Linked DNA regions of Mus musculus: all the other regions are reported to be linked to region 1. Evidence: microRNA targets listed by miRTarBase, many of them from high-throughput screens and not tested one by one. Region 1 holds a microRNA gene; each other region holds the end of a gene's coding sequence.

Evidence for each region. The annotated mature microRNA mmu-miR-3572-3p reads UACACUUGUCCUUCUUUCCCCAG and lies in region 1 at 1,316-1,338, shown strand. An mRNA with a match to its seed (bases 2 to 7 or 8) in the 3' UTR can be bound and repressed. Matches are read on the target gene's strand: a 7mer-m8 pairs with bases 2 to 8, a 7mer-A1 pairs with bases 2 to 7 and ends in A, and an 8mer does both.
Region 2: miRTarBase lists Gmeb1 as a target of mmu-miR-3572-3p. Seed matches in the 3' UTR shown: 7mer-m8 at 1,303-1,309.
Region 3: miRTarBase lists Arid4b as a target of mmu-miR-3572-3p. Seed matches in the 3' UTR shown: 7mer-A1 at 3,475-3,481.
Region 4: the mRNA of Pdxdc1 is a reported target of mmu-miR-3572-3p. Seed matches in the 3' UTR shown: 7mer-A1 at 928-934.

Annotation. Positions count from the first base shown.
Region 1 is chr7:3,654,695-3,659,694 of GRCm38, forward strand. It overlaps Mir3572 (microRNA 3572), which reads left to right and starts at 1,268; the gene lies at 1,268-1,353. Cnot3 (CCR4-NOT transcription complex, subunit 3) reads left to right here. Exons shown (of 18, transcript NM_146176.3): 11 at 877-1,258; 12 at 1,339-1,462; 13 at 2,093-2,291; 14 at 3,307-3,406; 15 at 3,499-3,697; 16 at 3,915-4,047; 17 at 4,687-4,812.
Region 2 is chr4:132,220,937-132,226,134 of GRCm38, reverse strand. Gmeb1 (glucocorticoid modulatory element binding protein 1) reads left to right here. Exons shown (of 10, transcript NM_020273.2): 10 at 1-5,110. The coding sequence ends at 370. Among named protein-coding and RNA genes, the nearest start is that of Ythdf2, 11 kb to the right of the region's middle.
Region 3 is chr13:14,196,818-14,202,015 of GRCm38, reverse strand. It overlaps Arid4b (AT rich interactive domain 4B (RBP1-like)), which reads right to left. Exons shown (of 24, transcript NM_194262.2): 24 at 2,413-4,410. The coding sequence ends at 4,283. Among named protein-coding and RNA genes, the nearest start is that of Gm26129, 110 kb to the right of the region's middle.
Region 4 is chr16:13,831,467-13,836,664 of GRCm38, reverse strand. It overlaps Pdxdc1 (pyridoxal-dependent decarboxylase domain containing 1), which reads left to right. Exons shown (of 23, transcript NM_053181.3): 23 at 50-965. The coding sequence ends at 306. Ntan1 (N-terminal Asn amidase) reads right to left here. Exons shown (of 10, transcript NM_010946.4): 7 at 5,005-5,058; 8 at 4,231-4,328; 9 at 1,871-1,984; 10 at 1,215-1,530. The coding sequence ends at 1,351. Among named protein-coding and RNA genes, the nearest start is that of Ntan1, 15 kb to the right of the region's middle.

The sequences.
Region 1 (5,000 bases):
TTAGGCTAATAGAAAGGACAGTCTCCAGTGGGAGGACCTAAGTGCACACTAATGAAGCTAATTTGGGGACCAGGGTTTAGGAGCAGCCAGAGTAATGGAGTGAGGAGGTGGGGCAAGGAATCATGGGGGTGGGCTTAGTTCTGCCACCTTATCAGGCCCCTTGACTGTCAAGCAGAAGTCCCAGGAAAAATGTGAATGGCCAGTTTTCTTTGTGATTTTTGTGTGGTGGTCAGAAGGCTAGGAGGCAGTTTGGCATGGCAGCCTGGTTGTTGGAGCGTAGTTTAAGTAGGGATGCCCTGGAGCACTGCATTTTTACAGTTTCATGATTAGCTGACATTCGGAAGGAATTGATTGTCCTAGTTCCCTTACGCTTAAACATTTAGGCTGATCCAACTAATTGCAAATTGAGGTTGGGATTTTTGTTTTTGTTTGTGTTGTTTGTTTCTTTTACAAGAGCATCTCGCTGTGTAGCCTATGCTGGCCTGAGCTCTCCAAATAGACAAGGCTAATCTCAGACTCATAGAGGGCTGCCTGTCTCTGCCTCTCAAGTGCTAGGATCAAAGGCATGTGTCACCACTTTAGGTCTCAAGTTCAGGGTATTTGAGAGTTTCCCTTGGTCTCTTGTCTTAACCTAAACCCTGTCAGATTCATGTGGGCTATAGGGACAATGTCCGGGGAGGACTTGGGACAGCTGGGTGGGCTGGAAGTAAATAGGTCTTAAACCTGAAGGTGATTGAAGTCTCCTAGGTGCCTCAGAGAATGTGGACAGTTAATAGCAGGTCAGAGGCAAGGCAGGAGGACAAGAAGAGGGTGGTGGATAGGGGACAGGCTGGTCTAGTACCTGACCCTTTGTTTTTTCTTTCTTTCTTCCTGCAGTCTCCAGCCAAAAATGGCTCCAAGCCTGTCCACAGCAACCAGCACCCCCAGTCCCCAGCTGTGCCGCCCACCTACCCCTCTGGCCCCCCACCTACCACTTCTGCCTTGAGCTCCACCCCTGGCAACAATGGGGCCTCTACCCCAGCAGCACCTACAAGTGCCCTGGGCCCTAAGGCCAGTCCAGCTCCCAGCCACAACTCGGGTACTCCTGCACCCTATGCCCAGGCTGTGGCCCCACCTAATGCCAGCGGGCCCAGCAATGCCCAGCCACGGCCCCCCAGTGCCCAGCCAAGCGGGGGAAGTGGTGGTGGCAGCGGAGGGAGCAGCAGCAATAGTAACAGTGGCACAGGCGGAGGGGCTGGCAAGCAGAACGGTGCCACAAGTAAGTGGAGACCAGTTTGGGGAACAGGGCAAGGTGGACAGTAGCTGACAGCCTGTTTACACTTGTCCTTCTTTCCCCAGGCTATAGTTCGGTTGTGGCAGACAGCCCTGCAGAGGTGACCCTGAGTAGCAGTGGGGGCAGCAGTGCCAGCAGCCAAGCCCTTGGGCCCACTTCGGGCCCTCACAACCCAGCTCCCAGCACCTCGTGAGTAGTGGGGTGGCAGTGTGTGGGCACAAGCTCTTATGCCACTTGTTTTAGGGTTCCAAGTTCTACCCTTCCTGGGTAGTACCTACCCAGTGTGTCCTTTCTTCACCTCAGCAAGTGTTCTTTTCCCTGCTTCTTACCAAGTGGGACATGTTTTACTCTCGGTTTCACACTACACTGTCTTCCCATTTCTGTTCTTTGCTCTGAGGCAGCTGACTCCCATGAGTGTGGGGGCTTTTCCCTTTTCCAAGTAAAATATCCTAGTCCTCCATTTCTTCAGCTTGACATCAGATTACTAATGAAAGATCTGCTGCCTTGTCAGCCTCGTTACCAGTCCTACTGGGATTGCACCATGTGCATCTGTGCAATCATTTACTCCAAAACTGTTTCAGTGACAATTCTAGAACTACCCTGTCCCCTGTCCTTTAACTTCATAAGCTGTTGGGGGGACCCTAAAATCCTGGTTGCACACCTCAGTACCTCTGCTGTACTGAAGAGGAGTCCAGAGGTTGGATTCACTTCTGCATGCTCCAGCTGTCTTGCTTTCAGCCCCCACCCCCCTTTTTGGATCCCATATTCTGTGCCTGTCTTCAAGGATCTTAATTTGATTCTCCTCCATTCTTTACCCAGAAAGGAATCCAGTACGGCAGCCCCATCAGGGGCTGGGAATGTGGCTTCAGGCTCAGGGAATAACTCGGGGGGACCCAGCCTCTTGGTGCCACTGCCTGTAAATCCCCCCAGTTCTCCAACGCCCAGCTTCAGTGAAGCCAAGGCAGCTGGTACCCTGCTTAATGGTCCTCCACAGTTCAGCACCACCCCAGAAATCAAGGTGAGTTTCTCGGGTGTGAGCCCTGAGCCTATCCTGCGACAGGAAATTCAATGAGTGCACTTTCCTAGAGGGGAAACATCTTAGAAGTTCTCCTGAGTGGGTGATAACGGCGTTAGCATGATTTTGACAGGAGGAGAAGCAAAGTGACACCTTGTGGAGAGACTCCTGGAAGGGTGGGGGAAGAGTAGCATGAAGGACTGAGCCTCATTGGCTGTGACTGGTGAAGAATGAGTCCCTCCAAGAGAGTTGGAGTGCAGGTCTGTGGGTGGGCTTCAGTGATGGAAGAGTTGTACAGAGTGGGTAGAAGAGCCAGCCCTGAGCTGCCTCACCAGGGAAAGCTGGGGGGGGGGGGGGGGGCTGCAGGCCCAACCCACTGATGTTCCCAAGGAGACTGAATGCCCAAGGGATGGTCGGCACCCTTAAGGCAACAGGAGCACCTGCAGTTCTGCCACCCACCTCTAAGAAGCATACTACTGTGAGCAGTCCGGCGGGTGTTCTCCCAGCATGTGGTGTCTTTATGGAAGTGTGTGCTTGTCCACTGCATAGGGTCACGTTTCCTCTGGAATGTGTTATGGACCCTGCAAAGAGGAGAGTGAACTCTCACAAATCTCATGCTGATTGGTGACTTCAGATTTGCAGCTTCCCTATAGCCATGGTTTAGAATATGGATGGATCTTGCAAATAGGGGACTGGCAATAGCAGATTATGCAGAGTGTACAGAGCCTATCAGGCTGTGCTTTTTTTTTTTTTTAAGATTTATCTGTTTGTTTATTGGTTTATTTATTTATTGTGTGTATGTGAGTACACCTGCTGTCTTCAGACACACCAGAAGAGGGCATCGGATCCCATTACAGATGGTTGTGAGCCACCATGTGGATGCTGAGAATTGAACTCGGGACCTCTGGAAGAGCAGACAGTGCTCTTAACCACTGACTGCTCCAGCCCCTAGGCTGAACATTTTTATGCAGCTCAGTCTCTGCTCAGGTCCTGAGACTTAACCCCTTTCTCTTCCCAGGCCCCTGAACCACTCAGCTCTCTGAAATCCATGGCAGAACGGGCAGCTATCAGCTCTGGTATTGAGGACCCTGTGCCAACGTTACACCTAACTGATCGAGGTGACAGTTATGGGATTGTGGGGAGGGCAAAGGCCAAAAAGGAGCTGACCCCATCCTCATCATTGAAGTGCTTAATGGCCTCTCCCCTGCAGACATCATCCTGAGCAGCACATCAGCACCACCCACCTCATCCCAGCCACCCCTGCAGCTGTCAGAGGTGAACATACCATTGTCACTGGGTGTCTGTCCACTGGGGCCAGTTTCCCTCACCAAGGAGCAGCTATACCAACAGGCCATGGAAGAGGCCGCCTGGCACCACATGCCCCACCCCTCTGACTCCGAGCGCATTCGGTGAGGGGCTGGAGAAAGGGCTGGGGACCGGGACTCCCCAGTCTGAGGGAGGAGCTGGTTCCTGGGTCCTGAGAGACTAGGTAGAGTACTCGTCTCAAAGTGCTGAGGACTTGACTTGGGGCTCCCTAAAGCAGGTTGAAGTGTGCTTCTGAACACTCTCCTGAAGGCAGGGCTGGAGCTCAGAGCCTCCTGGCACTAAATCCTCACTGGTCCACAGGCAGTACCTCCCCCGGAACCCTTGCCCGACACCCCCCTACCACCACCAGATGCCACCCCCACACTCGGACACTGTGGAGTTCTACCAGCGCCTGTCAACTGAGACGCTCTTCTTCATCTTCTACTATCTGGAGGTACAGCAGGGCCCCCGGGGCAGCCTCGGGCCCCCCAGCTCCGCCGCCACCGCTGCCATCCCCCCTCGGGCTGGAGGGGCGAGGTGGGTGTCCCACTGCGGCCACTGGGACCGCACCCCTCCCTATCCCAGTCTTGGGCCCCCTCAAATTAAACCTGACCCAGTCCCAAAACATTCTAATTGCTAAGATTCAGGGAGAGGCTGCAGGCCCTAGGCCATGTACAGTTTCCACTGCCAAGAGCTCTCAGCTCCTGGGAAACCCTTTAGTTTAGGATAGTTGCTGAAGTGCAGTAGACACTCCCAAGACCTAGAGACCTCTGCAGAACTGTCTGACCTCTTAACTGCAGTGGGTCAGCCCCTCCCCATCTCCTCCTGAGTTTTCTACTTCGTCTCCTTTCAGCTTTCATTATGCATTAGTTTCTCTTCTTTCTCAAAGCTTTTCTGAAAGCAATTCTCACCTCCTGTCTCATTTTCTTCTGACCATGGTATGTTTTGTGCTCCCAGCACTGTCTCCAAGTGGACTCTCCACAGCTGGTCTGTGGTGGGGGTCTGGGTCCAGCCCTGATGCCCTGCCCTTGTCCCCCTGCTAGCTACTCAATTTGGATACCTTCTGATCTTTCCTCTGCATTTTCTTTCCCAGGGAACCAAGGCACAGTACTTGGCAGCCAAGGCCCTAAAGAAGCAGTCCTGGCGATTCCACACCAAGTATATGATGTGGTTCCAGAGGCACGAGGAGCCTAAGACCATCACAGATGAGTTTGAGCAGGTGAGGGGCCCGTCCAACCTGGGCCCACTGGGGTATGGCTAGTGTACCCAATCCCAACCCTCAATCCTTGCTGGCCTTTCTCCTTTGGGCACAGTCCTGTAGACTGACCAAGCTGGTTCCCTAAGTGGTTCACCTAGCCTGGGATACTGTCCATCTCCCATTTGTCCATTTCTTAGTGCTTTAGTTTT
Region 2 (5,198 bases), not on the chromosome of region 1:
GGTTTCCTCTGCCAAGAGCAACTCACCAGACACAGTGACCATCCACCCTTCCTCAAGTTTGGCACTGCTAAGCTCCACCTCTATGCAGGATGGGAGTTCCCTGGGCAACATGGCCACCATGGTGAGCCCCATGGAGCTGGTGGCCATGGAGTCCGGCCTGACGTCAGCAATCCAGGCTGTTGAAAGCACCTCTGAGGATGGGCAGACCATCATTGAAATCGACCCTGCCCCAGACTCCGAGGCTGACGACACTGAGGGCAAAGCAGTCATCTTGGAGACAGGGCTGAGGACTGAGGAGAAAGTGGTAGCCGAAATGGAAGAACACCAGCATCAGGTCCACAATGTGGAGATTGTGGTCTTGGAGGACTGATTGGGGACAGGGCCAAGAGCTGTGTTTTGGTTTGGAATTTTAATTATGTTTATTTTTATCATTGTCCCGCTCATTTCCACATAGAACTTTTTTTAAAAAAAAAACAAAAACAAACAAAAAAAAACCAAACTACAAAATCTCGTTGTAACTGCAAATGTTGGGTTCCTCCTACTTCCTCATTGACAACTGGACAGAACAAGCTGCCTTTCCAGAAGTTAGAAACAGGGCACCCAGGGTCTGAACCATCTTTCCCCAAGGAAGGTAATTGCTTTTAGGGGAAGTGTCAAAATATCCAGGAATCCTTTCCAGAATAGTCTGTCTGTGTATACACGCATGGTCTCACTCTTGTAAAGACGCATTGACCAGACCCTGGAACACAGATCTGACTCCAGAAGATGACCAGCTCTGCTGTGGATACAGAAGCACGCTTGCCTCTGTGTCCTGGATATGATGGCCTCAGATGCTGGTGTGCAAAACTGAAAGAACAGGAGGTTGGCTCTGCTTAGGGTGGAAAGTAGTGTGATCAGCAGCTCATAGGGGGAGCCCTTTGACAGGGAGGGGCCGAGGAATGGTCTTCCAGAGGTGCATCTGATGCCCCTTGCGCTCTCTGAGGGTTGGGTACCATTTTCAATTTCAGAAGAGGACAGAGATTATAGAAAGACACAAAGCAATCAAAAGATTGTCACAGCTGTGCTTTTGGGATAGCTCACCTTGCCCCCAGCCTTGTCAAAGCCCTCACCCTCCTCGCCCAGGACTATCAGTCCATTCCTTTGCAGACTGTGATGTGGTATAAATTGTTCTAATTCTTGGACTGTGGCTGTCATGGAGGTGGGGCTCCAAGGCCATCATTTTTCGTTTCTTGACTCCAGGAATGGCAGAGTCCCTCGTGCAGACCAGCTGCTATTTTTGGTGGAGCCCTGCACGTAAGCATGCAAGTGTGTGTGTGTGTGTGTGTATGTGTGTGTGTGTGTGTGTGTGTGTGTGTGTGTACATGTTTCGGGTTTGGAACCAAAAGCAGTCATTTCCCTGGTGCTTCCTTTTCTTTTCCTTCCGTCTGCTGGACCCCATGCTCAGTAGCTTTTTGGCAGACAGCAGTGACAGGTGCCTGCCTGCCTTCATTCTCTTTGCCATTCTCCTCTTCTGATACCACAGATGTTTCTGTGAGATACCGAACTCATAAAATGGCTTAGGCTTGGCAGGGACAACTGGTAACACCTTTCCTGAGGTGTGGACTAGATGGCTCCTGAGTGAGCTGCACTTTCTGGGAAAGGGACATTGTATTTGACATTGTAAGAAGTATGACAGGAGTGTCAGTAACGTCCAGGCGTGGGGCTTCTTCCTAAATGCTGTTTGTACATTCGGTACTACTAGGTCACTCTTTCTGCTGTGATCCCATGTCGTTGATTCTCTTCAGCGTTTGGGGGAGAGTAAGCAGTTTCTGGTTTCTTTAATTATATTGTTTACTATGTTAGGGAAAATATAGAGACTCTCGAGGTGACTTTATAGGTCAAAAAAGCATACAGCTTAGGAGCTGGAGGATTTATTATTATTATTAAAAGTAAAATTTTGGCTTTTGTTTAAAAAAAAAAAATAGAGAAGGATGCCTGTCTAAATCTGTCTTCCTGCCTGCAGGTTTTGAAAACCCTGTAAGCAACCAAAAGTTGCACCTTCCATCTCTTAGACGGCCATGTGTCACCAGGGAAGCAAGCCCTCAGGGATCACTCTGAAGACCCTGAAGAGTGCGGCTTCTGAACTCTATTCAGATTTGTTTCAGCTTTAAAACTGGACTTTTCTTTTCAGACTCTTTAGTTAGGCTGGGGACAGAACTGAATTGGTAAAGTGGTCACCTAGCGTTCATGAAACCCTGGGCTCAGTCTCCAGCCAGAAGTAAACTGGGCATGGGGCCACATATCTGATCCTAACACTTGGGAAATAGAGACGGGAGACTTAGAAATTCAAGGTCATACATACCAAGTTCAAGACCAACCTGGGATATATGAAATAGTGTCTCAAAAAATTTTTGTTTAGGACAAGCTTTTGGTGAAAGAAGGAATTTATTCCTGCCTTCCTTACACTTTGTTAATACATAGGAATTTTTATTACATTTATTTATCTGTGTGTGTGTGTGTGTGTGTGTGTGTGTGTGTGTGTGTGATGGTGAGCTTGCTACGGTATGTATGTGAAGATCAGAGAACAACCTGCAGGAGTCTGTTCTCGCCTTCCACCATGTGGGTCCTGGGAATTGAACTCAGGTTGCCAGGCTTGGTGGTAAGCACCCTCATCCATTGAGCCATCTTGCCTGCTCTAAAAGTTTCGGTCTTCAGACCAAAACTGTTACTTGAACCTAGAAAGCCACATCGCATCCCTGTTGTGTCCTTTAGGTCATTTCTCTTTTCCAGAGATGGGCAGACCAATTCAGGACACGGGAGGCACCCTAGAGAATAGAGGCAGGCTCCTTCAGGTCCTGCCTTTTTGCTCTTCACAGCTGTTGTGTCATTAAAGGTTGTGTGAGCAGCATGCTTCCAAAGTCAGATTTCCTTCTTGAGACAGAGCCTGTTTACTTAAAACAGATTACATGAGCTTTGCTGTTTTCCTGGTCTTCCAATTGCTGTCATTGCTAGCTGCAGTGGTACTTGGAGAGATGAGATCTCTCACAGACCTGGTCTAGATTATTTTAGGTGGGGTGATACACATGCAAGCTTCTGATGTGTGAATAGGCAGTTGCAATGAAATTACTCCTCAGGCTGACTTGATGGTAGCTATCTTTTCTCTAGCCATTCATTAAATAAACATTTGTAAGTACTGTCTATGTATAAGTACTAAACGCCAACTGATTGCGTCACCTAAGCCCCAGTAAGTACCATGAAGATGCAGGTTTTGTGCTAGACACTGATCTTGCAGACAAGACAATTCCTGTTCTTAAGAAGTTCATACCCAGACATCTTTGCAGTTAACCACACTTTTTGTTTGTTTGGTTTGTTTTTTGAGACAGGGTTTCTCTGTGTAGCCCTGGCTGTCCTGGAACTCTCACTATGTAGCCAGGCTGACTGGAACTCACAGAGATCTGTTTGCCTCTGTCTTCCAAGTGCTGGGATTAAAGGTGTGCACCACCACTGCCATAGTGAATAGTCAACCGTATTTTAATGTCATTGGTTTCTTTTGTGATCCTGTTTTATCTTAAATATTGGGAAGGACTCTGAGTCTTTAGTTCCTAGGTTTCAACAGGCAAAGTCACAGAGGTGAAGCCACCCCTGGTGAGATTTTACCTTAGGTTGAGGTGACTGTAGCTATGGTCTTTTTTTTTTTTTTTAAAGATTTATTTATTTATTATATGTAAGTACACTGTAGCTGTCTTCAGACACTCCAGAAGAGGGAGTCAGATCTTGTTACAGATGGCTGTGAGCCACCATGTGGTTGCTGGGATTTGAACTCTGGACCTTCGGAAGAACAGTCGGGTGCTCTTACCCACTGAGCCATCTCACCAGCCCCAGCTATGGTCTTTTGGCCTGGAGTTAAGCACAAAAGATCAAGCACTTACTCAGCTTGGGGTCTGAATGGCTTCCGCTAATCTGAGGCAGTTCTCTGCATACCCTAGTTGCCCTTGAACTTGGCTATGTAGAGTAGCCTGGCTTTGAGCTCATAAAGGTCCATCTGCCTCTGCCTCCTAAGCATTGGGATTAAAGCTATCACACTTGGCTCTTGCTACTCCTCAGTTTCTAGGCTTCCAAAGAGTGGTGCTGCATGCGTGCCTGGGGCCCCGGCCCCAGAGGGCAGGGGCAAGAAGAGAGAAAGCTTCAAGATCCTGTCTCACAAACCAGAAATTTAGGCTTCCACATCCCAAACCCAAAGTTACTCTACTTTTGTTTGTGTCGCTCCCCCCTCCCCCATGGACAATAGACATTCAAGATTCAAACCCACTTTGGTGTGTCGTTCCCTCACCTGCCATAGCAGGAGAGAGAACTAATATAGATGAATAGCAGGTGATTCTTTTAATGTTGCTGGTTTGTCCCATTTCATGAGAGACACTATAGATAAGTATATATGGGGAGTACTGATTTTATTTACAAAAAAAAAAAATGTACATTTAGTGTGCTTGTGTGTGTGTGGCATGCCGGAGTACATGGTGTCTTTATCAATGAACAGCTTTCAGGATTCAGTTCTCGCCTTCCACTGTGTGGGTCCCAGGGGTCAAATTCAGTTTGCCAGGCTTGGCAAGCAAGCACCTCTACTCACTGAGCTATCTTGCTGGCCCAATGAGATTTTTTCTTTTTCATGTATTTATTTTAGTTTATAATTGTTCTTGCAAGTATGTATGTGCACCTCACCTCTCACGCATGCCTGGTATCTGACGTGGTTGGTCGGAGAACATTTCTGATCCCCTGGAACTGGTGTTAGAGATGGTGTCTGCTACCATGTGGGCGCTGGAAATCCAACCCAGGTTCTCTGAATGAATACATGCTCTCAACTGAGCTGTCTCTTCGGGTGATATTATAAATAACAAAACTGTTGTGAAATATGGAGTCATTGAGTCAGAACTGACCCATAATGGAGGACTATCTAGGAGATGGAAAAGAATCCTTCCCTCAACCCTCCCCAAAAAAGGTTGAATTCTGAAATTAAGCACAAAGTGGTGGTGGCACACATCTTTGATCCCAGCACGTAGGAGCCAGTTGGATCTCTGAGTTCAAGGCCAGACTTGTCTCGAGGACAGCCAAGGCTACACAGAGAAATCACATCTTGAAAAAAAAAAATAAATGAAGTTGTGGTTTGCTTTGGTCAATCCTGAGGACAGGATAAACTCGGTGAGAGAAAGTCCCAATGCAACCTC
Region 3 (5,198 bases), not on the chromosome of region 1:
GGACTCTTGAATTAGTCATGAAGCCAGATTTGATGGGCCTGGCCACACAAGCCTGTAATCCTAGCTCTTCAGTGGAAGGCTGAAGCAAGAAAACAGCTCCTGAGCTAGGTGTGTACTGAAGGTCAGCCTGAGCAACTTAGGAAGATTAAGACCCTATCTCAAAATAAAAAGTAAAGGCAGGGGAGCCACACAGGCCTGTAATCTCAGCACTCAAAAGGCTTGAGCAGGCCCAGACTTTACAGTCATCCTCAGCAACATAATGGAATTTGAGGCGTACATGGACTCTAAGAGAGACTCTGAGCTCTGGTGAGCTGAGAATGTGGCCCAATGGTGAAGTGCTTACCCAGCTTAAGGGAAGGAGGGCTCCCCTGGCATAGCTAGTAACTACAGGAGTTACCCGCTAAGCCTAGTCCTAAAGGGACACTTGGACACAGCTCAGAGATTCACCTGGAGTCATCATGAACACTGGTGGAACTCAAGGGGGAGACCTACACCGTCACCAAGAGAGTACTGGACACCCTGCAAGCTGAAACCAGCCTGGCATTCCACAGGGCTCTTGATAAGAACACAGATACATGGCTCTGAAATAATGCACACCACTCACCCCCCACTCCAGGCCCTTTTTTTCTCTTGTGCTCCTTCCTTCCGAAACCAAGTTTAGACCTGAGCTTCCTTGAACGGCCTCAACGCAGAGTCCTCACTTCCGGACTCCCACGAATCTCACGTTCCCTCTGGTCCCAAGTTCCAGTCACTTCCGAGATGGGGCCTTGTCCCTCCATTCTGAACCCTTCTCCAAGCAGGCTGTGGCTGATCGGGACTCAGGAGCTGGGGAACTGATGGTTTAGGTCTCCTGTTTGTCGTGCTGCCCTGAGCCGATTAGGGAAACCTGGACTTGGGTGTACAAGAAGTCTGAAAAGCTGGCCATGAGCATGCGATCATCTCCTTATGGGTAAGTTGTAGGCCAACTTAAATTGACACGTCAATGATCAAACTGCAGCAGAGTGTGTACATTCCTCCTAGCCTGTTCAGACCTATTCTCATGCCTCAACTTCATGGTTTAGATGTGATGCATCGAAGCTCAAGAGTATTAGGTACAGGAGTCAGTTGGATCAGGTACAAGTTCACTGTCCTCATTCTTCAAGATTGTCTTCAAAAGCAAGAGCAATTTCTGGCCAGGAACCCACCTCTGTTCTGCCAGCCATCAGTATTACGTGCAGCTGGGGAAAGGAATACTAAAGAGAATGACAAGGGCCATGCAGCACTCTGTTGAGACTCCCCCTTTGTCGGTCCTTGTTTTCTTACCTGTGTAAGAGGAGAAAGGCAAGCTATGGAGTCTTGAAGACTCCTGGGCTCTGACTGAAACACCATCGAGTTTGTGCTACCACCCCCTTCCTCTCAAGTGGCAGCACATTTTTTGATACCTAACCCCCGCACTGGTTGCAGTGATATAGTACAAATTTGTTAGATGACTTTCAAGACCCTCTGACTATAAGCCCATCTCTTCCACTTTCTTCCTCCTTAAGTGCCACAATGAACATATTTGGGAGCAAGTGGCTTAAGGCCAGGTGTAGTGTACACACCTCTAATGCCTACACTTAGGAGGTAGGGGCAGGTAAATCTGAGTTGAAGGCCAGCTTGGTCTATATAAGAAAGGACTCTACACTGAGAGATTACAGATTAAATTGCTTCAGTGTTTTTTTTAAAAGATAATATACAATATATCAGGTAAATTAGGGCACCTTGGAAATGGGGAGAGGCATACTGGCTGGTTTAACAATGATTACTGGATTCCTGTAACAGGTACAGAGGTGTTACTCAAAGCAGAGCCAGAAAGGCTCCATCATATTAAATGACAAGAGACACTGTAGGTAATAATTCTGAGAAAAATAAAATTTTTTAAGAAACTACTGGTCTATAATACTGGCACTTTGAGTCTCAGGCAGAATTGAGAATCTGTGAGACTGAAACCAGGTTGGGCAATATAGCAATTTTATTCTCAAGAAAAAGGAAAAACAAGGTTTGTTTACTGAGACAGACTCCGTCTGTAGCTCAAGATCTAACTGCCTCAACCTCTTGAGGCTGGGGATTACAGGTATGGGCCATTATACACTGCAGAAACATCCTTTTCTATTGTGTATTTTGTGTATGTGAATGCAGAGGATAACTGCAGGAGACAGTCTTTCCTTCTACTATGTGGGTTCTAGGGATTGATAAATCAAGATTGGTCATCAGTGCTTACCTCTGCTAGCCCCAAAATATAGTTTTAAAATTGTACTTACCTTTTTCCTTCTTTGGACAATGCCCCCCTCCCCCCAACTGTAACAAAAAAATCTGTATTCAGACTCTAGCAAAGTTATATAATAACAGCCTAAAAACATCACTTTACTTACTTTTTTTTTTTTTCTTTTTTTTGAATTTACGGTTTGATTTGGTGCAGTGCTGCGAACTGAAGCCAAGGACTGGAGCACACTAAGTACATGCTATACAACCCAGCACTGTATAAAGGGACTTTTAATTTTGAACAGCGGAACACTCCCTTTGGGATACGGATGTGAGCCCTTGTGATAGGTAATACAGGCTGCATGGACTCTCAGCACTCATCACATACAAAGTGAACTCAAATTACTTTACCTTCTACAAACAAAATCAAGGATTCACAAACTATGGCATTTTATTTCAGAGCTTTTGCTTACATTTGTACAATATATTACATAATTCATCATGTTTGCAGATCCTAATATATACTTTATAGTTTTATTCTATAAGTTTTTTCTTCAACATTTTGCTGTCAACAAATCTTTACAGTCTGTACAAATTTGAGTAATTTGAAATCATTTTTCAACAAAATTAGTTACTGTAAGCACACATTACAAGACTGAAAATGCTTTTCTTAGAAAGGTTCAATGTAAAGGATTAAGGATTCTGACACGTTAGCATCTACAACAAAACGCTTCGAGATTCTCACATGTATTGCCAGAAAACAAATAAAACATGCCAGCCTCATTCAAAAAAAGCACACAGAATCACAATTAAAACAGTAAAACGGTCTGTACAGTGAAGTACTGTGTATTAACAGCGCCAGGTTTTAAATAGCCTCAATGAACACATCCGCAATATACAAATGTATTACAAAGGTGGGGAATTAAATACAAGTGCCAAACAGAGATTGGAATCATACAACATAAAGTCAATACAAGTGAAAACAGCTTGGCGTTCATTCTGCAGTTTATACAAGGCATTGAATTGTATAGGCCTACTACCCAACTAGCTACTTATACTTAAAATAATAACCATCTTTGTGAGGCAGGTCATATAAACAACCTTGAACCATTCTAACAGTTTGTTCCTGAAGTCTTTTTGTTGTAAGCTCATAATAAAATAAGCAATACAAATGAATTATCTGTATTTAAGGGAAAAGAAACATTTACAAGAAAACACAAAAATATAACTGTTATAATTCATTATGAATAAATATACACTTTGAACTGGCTAAGTACAATCTTTATACATTGTTTAAGATTTAATACAGTTTATTAGCCATTTTCTTTTTTCACACAATGTATTATATCAAAATTAAAAAAAAATACTGATTTATAGAAAAATGGCAAAGTACAGTAGTCCCATTTCAATTTGAAGGGGTGTGAAAAGCCACCACAGACCTTTTAGCCTAATTCAAACCTGTAAACATGTTCAGTCATTTTTAAAGAGAATCTTTAATATTTGGTTACCAGGATGATGTCTAATAATATCCTGTTAACTAACTGCAAGTCTTGAATTTGTTACATGTGCTTGACTTATACAATTAAAGTCACCCTAAAGTGACTTGCTTTAAAAAACAATTAGCTTGTACAAATGAAAATAGGTTCATATTTTTAATAAATGAATGGAAAAATATCAAATGTTCCAGCTTTAACAAAATACAAGGGAATACATATACAGTAAGTCTTCTCACATGTTCTGGCCCACCTTTTCTCTGCCTACTGTGTCGTCTCTACAGGCAGTGAAAAGCCTCCTCTGCCACAGTGGAAGGCCTTCAAGTTACCAGACACACGCAATTCCCAGACAAGTTGGAAACAATTATTGCTTGAGGAAAAGCAGTTCGTTGTACTTTTTCTTCATAAAAAAAGTGCACTTAAGTGCCAAGTCAGCTTGTCAAGAAATAATTTTTAAATATAAAATAGTGCTTGTCTGATTTTGTGTGTTTGTGTGCCACTGTGCAGTATAAAAAAAGATGTGGCCCTCAACAGCCATTAAGTGCAAAGTGCTCTAGCAAGTCCTGCTGTCACCTGCACTCAACTGACATTCCATTCTGTGATGCACTGGACATTGATGGTTCAGCTAGTGTCAACATAACAGCAGCTGTGATGGAGCTGGACGAGGGAGAAGAGGAGGAAGAAGATGTAGCAGCACCTGAGAAGAAGGAAGAGCACACGTGAGGCTACAAAGCAGGCTGCACTGGGAAGATGCAAAAAGCTCACTCAGCTTCAGCCTAAACTTCTCTTGTGTTCTCCAAAGTCAGTGTATAGGAGCCATCCCTGCACAAAGTACCACAGTATAAAGAAAGGGAAAGCCAGCAGCAGACTGTTGCCCATCTGCAAACCACAGACGGCAGAGCTCAGTGGCAACGGACTTGATGGGATTACAAGGACATTGGTTCTATTCCTAGCCCTGTCAAAGGAAAAAGAAAGCAAGGTGGAGAGGGAAGAGGGAGGGGAGGAAAGGATTTGTGTATACATACTGCAGAACACATAATTAAAGAGTAACTTTGTTCACTAACTACCCACACAGTTTTGAATGAAAACAGGAAAATTGTCTGTCTGCTACTTTTCTAATACCTCATTCTGCACCACTTTTCCACTAAACTCTGAGACCACAGAGGTAGCTTGGCAGATATAGCCTAACAACCTGAGCTGAACGCCCAGACACTACCAGGTAGAAGGGAAGAAATGACTCAATGATGTTTCTTCTTGTGCACATTGCACTCAGAAAATAAATGACTTTGTTTTCAAGTGTAAAAAGAATGGGTGGCTGAGGACTGTTTTCCTCAAGGGAAGTCTTTCATTATTATCAGTACATGAAATGGAATGTTTTAAAAGATTATCTCTACACACAAATAAGAAGGAATAAACATCCAGTGAGACAACTCTACGGATAAAGGCACCTGCCACCAAGACTGGCCAGTCTGAATTCATCTCTGG
Region 4 (5,198 bases), not on the chromosome of region 1:
GCCTTTGCATATACTACCAGTTTCAGGATAGTCCGTCTCATGTCCCTAGGTCAGAAGCCTTTTAAAAGGTCCCTGAGAGGCTCGGATGCTGTGAGTGAGACCAGCTCAGTCAGCCACATTGAAGACCTGGAAAAGGTGGAACAGCTGTCCAGTGGGCTAGAGCATGACAACCTAGAGGCCCACAGCCCTGAGCAGCCTCCCAGGGCCACTGATCTCACGGCCAGACAGACTGAGGCCCTGCAGAACCAGGCCCAGCATCAGGAAGATGACCATTCACAGGTAGAGGAACTGGAGCGCTTAAGATAAGCTCAGTAGTGCTGGGCTGGAGGCTGTACTAACTGTCGTTTCAGGGAAGGTGAAGTTCTATGGAAGACGTGAACTATGCCACATGTTAATATGATAAAAACTTTTGTTGTTTGTGCTAAACTGGGAGTTTTGCACAGACACATGTCAGAAAAGCGGGCTTTCTAGGGGGCAATTAATTATTTTATCTGTAAGTAGAACAAATGACAATTGACTATTTTGGCCTGTCCAACATAGGCATACCCTTTCTTCCTGTACCACACATTTTGTACTGAGAACCGTGGCCTTCAAGCACCTGCCACTTGAAACACTGCTCTCATGGCTCTGAAGCTAATCGTGATGAAGCTGCATACAGTGACTCTCCAGGTTCTCCTCCGTCTGTCGTAGTAGCTCTGTAGGTCAGCCGAGTTGTGGTAGGTGCCTGCCTCACTGGTTGGCATCAGGAGCTCCTCTGCCTCTGTCCCCACTGCTGCTTCTCCGGGAGCCTAAGTAAGGACTGTCCACATGAGCTGTGGCTAGGACTGCCCCTTGCTGCACCTTTTCTCCTTACACTCTGTAAACAAATGTAAGGACTCACCTGTTAATAGAGTAATTAACTCTTAAGATCTCTTCCTGACCATATTTAAGTGTATTTTTAAACACTGGTAATGCTTTTAAGTTGGTGCCCAGTGTGCACTGTGCTTGTGTTTATTTGGGACAGAAAGCCGCCATGACGAGTCAGTGTCGTCAGCTGTGCAGCACGGTAAGGCTGAAGCAGACAAGCCCTCGGCTAAAAGTAACTTTTGAATAAGGAGTTTTCCCGACCAACTTGTCTGTGAAGGCCCTGCCAATGAAGCCAGTGGTCTTGCTTCTCTCCCTCACTGCTGAGGGAATGTGGACTTTTTGTTGCCGTAAAAAGTCATCTAAACAAATTGCCTTTGCCAAAATAAGATTTTATTTTGAAAGACAGGAAGGACGGAAGAAGTAAAAGTGTGCAGGTGTAGATTCCAAACCAGCAACCATCTTTATCAGGTGAAGATGAATTCTTCAGTAAACTCTGAGCTGATGTTAGCTCCCTGGAGAGGAGATCTTTTCCCACAAGCCATCTTTATTTTTTTTGTAGAGGAGAGCTTTATTTCCAGGAAAGAGTATATTCTCTGGAGATGGGAATTTTTTTAAAAACATCAAGGTAGATCTAATATGTTCAACAAAGTGGGGGGGCTCGGCCAGAGGAGACGTGGAAAGGCTCTGAAAAGACAAGATGGTGGATGTGAGAGGACCAGGCTGACCTCTCATTCAACATCAGAGTAGCCTTGGGCTGCGTACACATTTACTGGGCTAGTTTCAGTGTGGTGTCTGTACATCTGGGGAAACACACACTACATTGCTTACTGCTTCACCTGTATAAACAGCTGCCAGGATGTCACTAATCCCCCACTGCCGTAAAGGAAAGAGACACTGCCAGTGGCAACAGATAGTCACTCTCACCCATTGAGGAGAAGCAGCCTTAGCTGGTCTAACCTTTTTTTCTTACAGATGGGAACCAGGGTGCAGAGACTTAAGGTTTAGCCGACCTGTAAACTCTCACCTCTAGGATTTGCTTGTCATCTTGCTGCAACCAGAAATCCACTTGTGGGAATGGCGTCCAGGAACACGGGCCTATTCGGAGTTGTTCTGTCTTTGCATCATAAATGCTAATCATCTAAAAGAACCATTTCCATGACAAGCTGTAAGGACACTGCCCTACCACTGCTATAGGCTAGTTCCAAGGTTGTCTGTCCCCTTAGCTGATAAGCTGCGCACATTGACCTCCCGTAACAACAAGGCTGCCACCACCAAATGCTTCCCTGTGCACTGCTGTGTTTACTTTTGATGGCAAGCCTACAAGAAGACAACATGCTGTCCTCTCAAGGGGAAGCTGATGGTGAGAGGTCTCAGGTCACATGTCCAGTGAGCAGCAGCAGGGCCTCAGAGCCAGGTAGGTCTGACTAAAGCCTGAATTCCTCATGGTTACACAGAATACCACAGCTCCTTATTACCACCCCAAGCAAGTAGTCATCATGTCACATAAAAGAGTTCACAGTGCCCAAGACAGACAGCTCATACCTGCCATCAAACACTCAGGAGGCTGAGGCTGACCCAGAGAAGAGCACTGTGGGTTCCAGGACAGCCTGGATGACAGTGAGGCCTTGTCTCACAAAAGGAATAAAAGAAAGGTCTGGGTCTTTTGCTTTTGTTGCTGTTTGTCTGTCTTGTTTTTGAGACAGGGACTGACTGTGGTAGACCAGGCTGGCCTTTAAACTTTGGGATCTTCCTGCTTTAAAAGTGTGCACCGCCAAGCCGGGCGTGGTGGCACACACCTTTAATCCCAGCACTTGGGAGGCAGAGGCAGGCGGATTTCTGAGTTCGAGGACAGCCAGGGCTACACAGAGAAACCCTATCTCGGAAAAACCAAAAAAAAAAAAAAAAAAAGTGTGCACCACCATACCTCCCCTGGTTTTCTGTGCTGCAGTAGGTCTCACATACCTTGGGGCTGGTCTCAACTCCCGAATGTGGGATCACAGGTGTGCATACCATCACTACCAGCTCTGTGGAAGCTGATTGGCCATTCCTTGAATTCCCAAATCATGCCAGTGGGAATTTTCAGTTTTGAAAAGAGTACTCAATATTCTAATTATTAACTAAATAACAAAAAGAATCCTTTGCCACAGTTCCAAGACACCCTAGGCTACATAGCAAAACCAAGTCAAATGCAAAGTTTTTAAAGACAAGATTAGGACTCCTGAAAATTATTAAAAGACTGGCAAAACAAATGTCTGTCTCTGAACATTTTCCTGAGATGTTGTTAGCACTACACAAACAAGCAGACTTGGAGCTTGCTGGGGCCTGCGTTGCTGGCACATACTTGAGACCAGGCACCTGTGCCCTGTGTCTTCAGTTGTTTAAGACAAGACAGGACCTCCCACTGAAGCGGAAACTACATATTCAGCAAGACTAGAAACCTCAATCGTCAGCCTGTCTCTTCCCCAGTACGAGGACTGGAAGCATGCACAGCACACCCAGCTTCTCATGTCAGTGCTACAGATCATGCCTACATAGCATAACATGTTTACATGTTACATAGGATCGTGTTTGCCTTGACATCCCAGGCTGGCCTCTACCTCACAGCAATCCACCTGTATATCTCCTGAGTGTTTAGATTAAAACTGTGTGCCAGGCTCATTCTGTACATTGTAAATTCTTCTAGCTTCTACCAATTCTTCCGATGGGATGAATATTAAGCATCCTAGAGACCAAGACACAGTTGTACACTTGTGTAATCCCAGCCTGGGAAATGTTGAAGCTCTTACATAACAAGCTCTTATCTAAAGATAAAAGGGCCTAGGCTAAAAGTGCTCGGTGACAGAGCACTTACCCAGCATATGTGAGGAGCATCTTGAATCCATCCTTAGCACTACTAAAAACAAGGAAAAATATAGTGCCCTAAGGAAGTTAGACTTTAAAACTGACTAAGTGACTCACTAAACTACTACTCCTTGGTCACTTCCGTCCCTGCCATCCTCTCTATGGGAAGACGTCCCAGGCAGGCTGTTACTGTCTCTTCTATCTTCCAAGGAGAGAACTAGTGTCTGGCACTTAGAACCTAAACTCACTTAGAACCTTTTTTTTTTTTTTTTTTTTTTTTGGTTTTTCGAGACAGGGTTTCTCTGTGTAGCCATGGCTGTCCTGGAACTCACTCTGTAGACCAGGCTGGCCTCTACTCAGAAATCCGCCTACCTCTGCCTCCCAAGTGCTTGGATTAAAGGCGTGTGCCGCCACTGCAGGGCGAACCTCTTAACTCTTGAGGAAGTGGGCTGGGTAAGGAGGTGGCCATAGCTTTTCTCGGGTCTAAAAACTTGAGGCTCTTGGGGTTCCCTCTTTATCCCACAAAAATAGGCTCCCACTCACTGGGCCTCCTGCTAAAGCTCTTGCAGCACGCAGTTGCTCCTCTGGACCACGATCTTGAAAGGAAGCTCTGTAAATCTCTGCAGTTTTAATGTTGACAGCTGCAAGGGACAAGGGAGTGACTTTAAATCGACAAAGATCCAAATCAGACTTCACATTTCTAGCACTCCACATAAGAAGCAGAAACAGAAAGGAACGGGAGCTGAAGGAAGTCTGAGGTGCTGACAACCTCTGAACCAGCACAGAGAGAAGAACAGCCCCAGACCTGCTCTGGACCCTTGCGGCATGTGGTTTCAGAACTCTGCTGCGACCACAGACACTTGTGAGGCTGCAAAGTGACAGAGAATAAAATAAGAAGTGCCTGTGTGCTCACCACCCAGCTAGCTAAACAAGGATACACCAGAAGCCCTTTGCAATTTGCTAGCCTCAGAACTGAAGAGAGGAGGACCCTGGGCTTCCTTACTTCATTCCCAGAATATATAGAGATCCAAATACCTCACACCTTCCCCATGAGCACTGGCTAGGGGGGAAAAACGCCAGACCCCTCCCCTCCAGTGAGGCAGTGTGACACTGTGACATGTGACACTGTGCTACAGGAATGAGTGTGGGGTGCATAGCCTGTGCTGTACACTGGCATTAACAACCTCACAGCTAAAAGGTTAGTCAAGGTTGGCCTCTTGCCCAGGGTTTCCAAACTCACCAACAGACCTTTAACCTAACACAGTCTGCTATGCCCACATGCACACCATATAACCCTCGGATACAAACGCTACTTACCGATGCCATAAATGATTGGAAAGTGATTTTCATTTTCTTCACGGTCATTTAACTCTAAGAAACAAAGGGAAGTAGAAGCACTAAGCAGTTGTTCCTCATAGAGGAGAAGCTCAGTCAGTGCAGAGCCCCAGGGGGCACTGGCCAGCCCAGCCCGCCCAGGAACAGAGAAACCAGACAGCGTGCCTCTGCAGAAG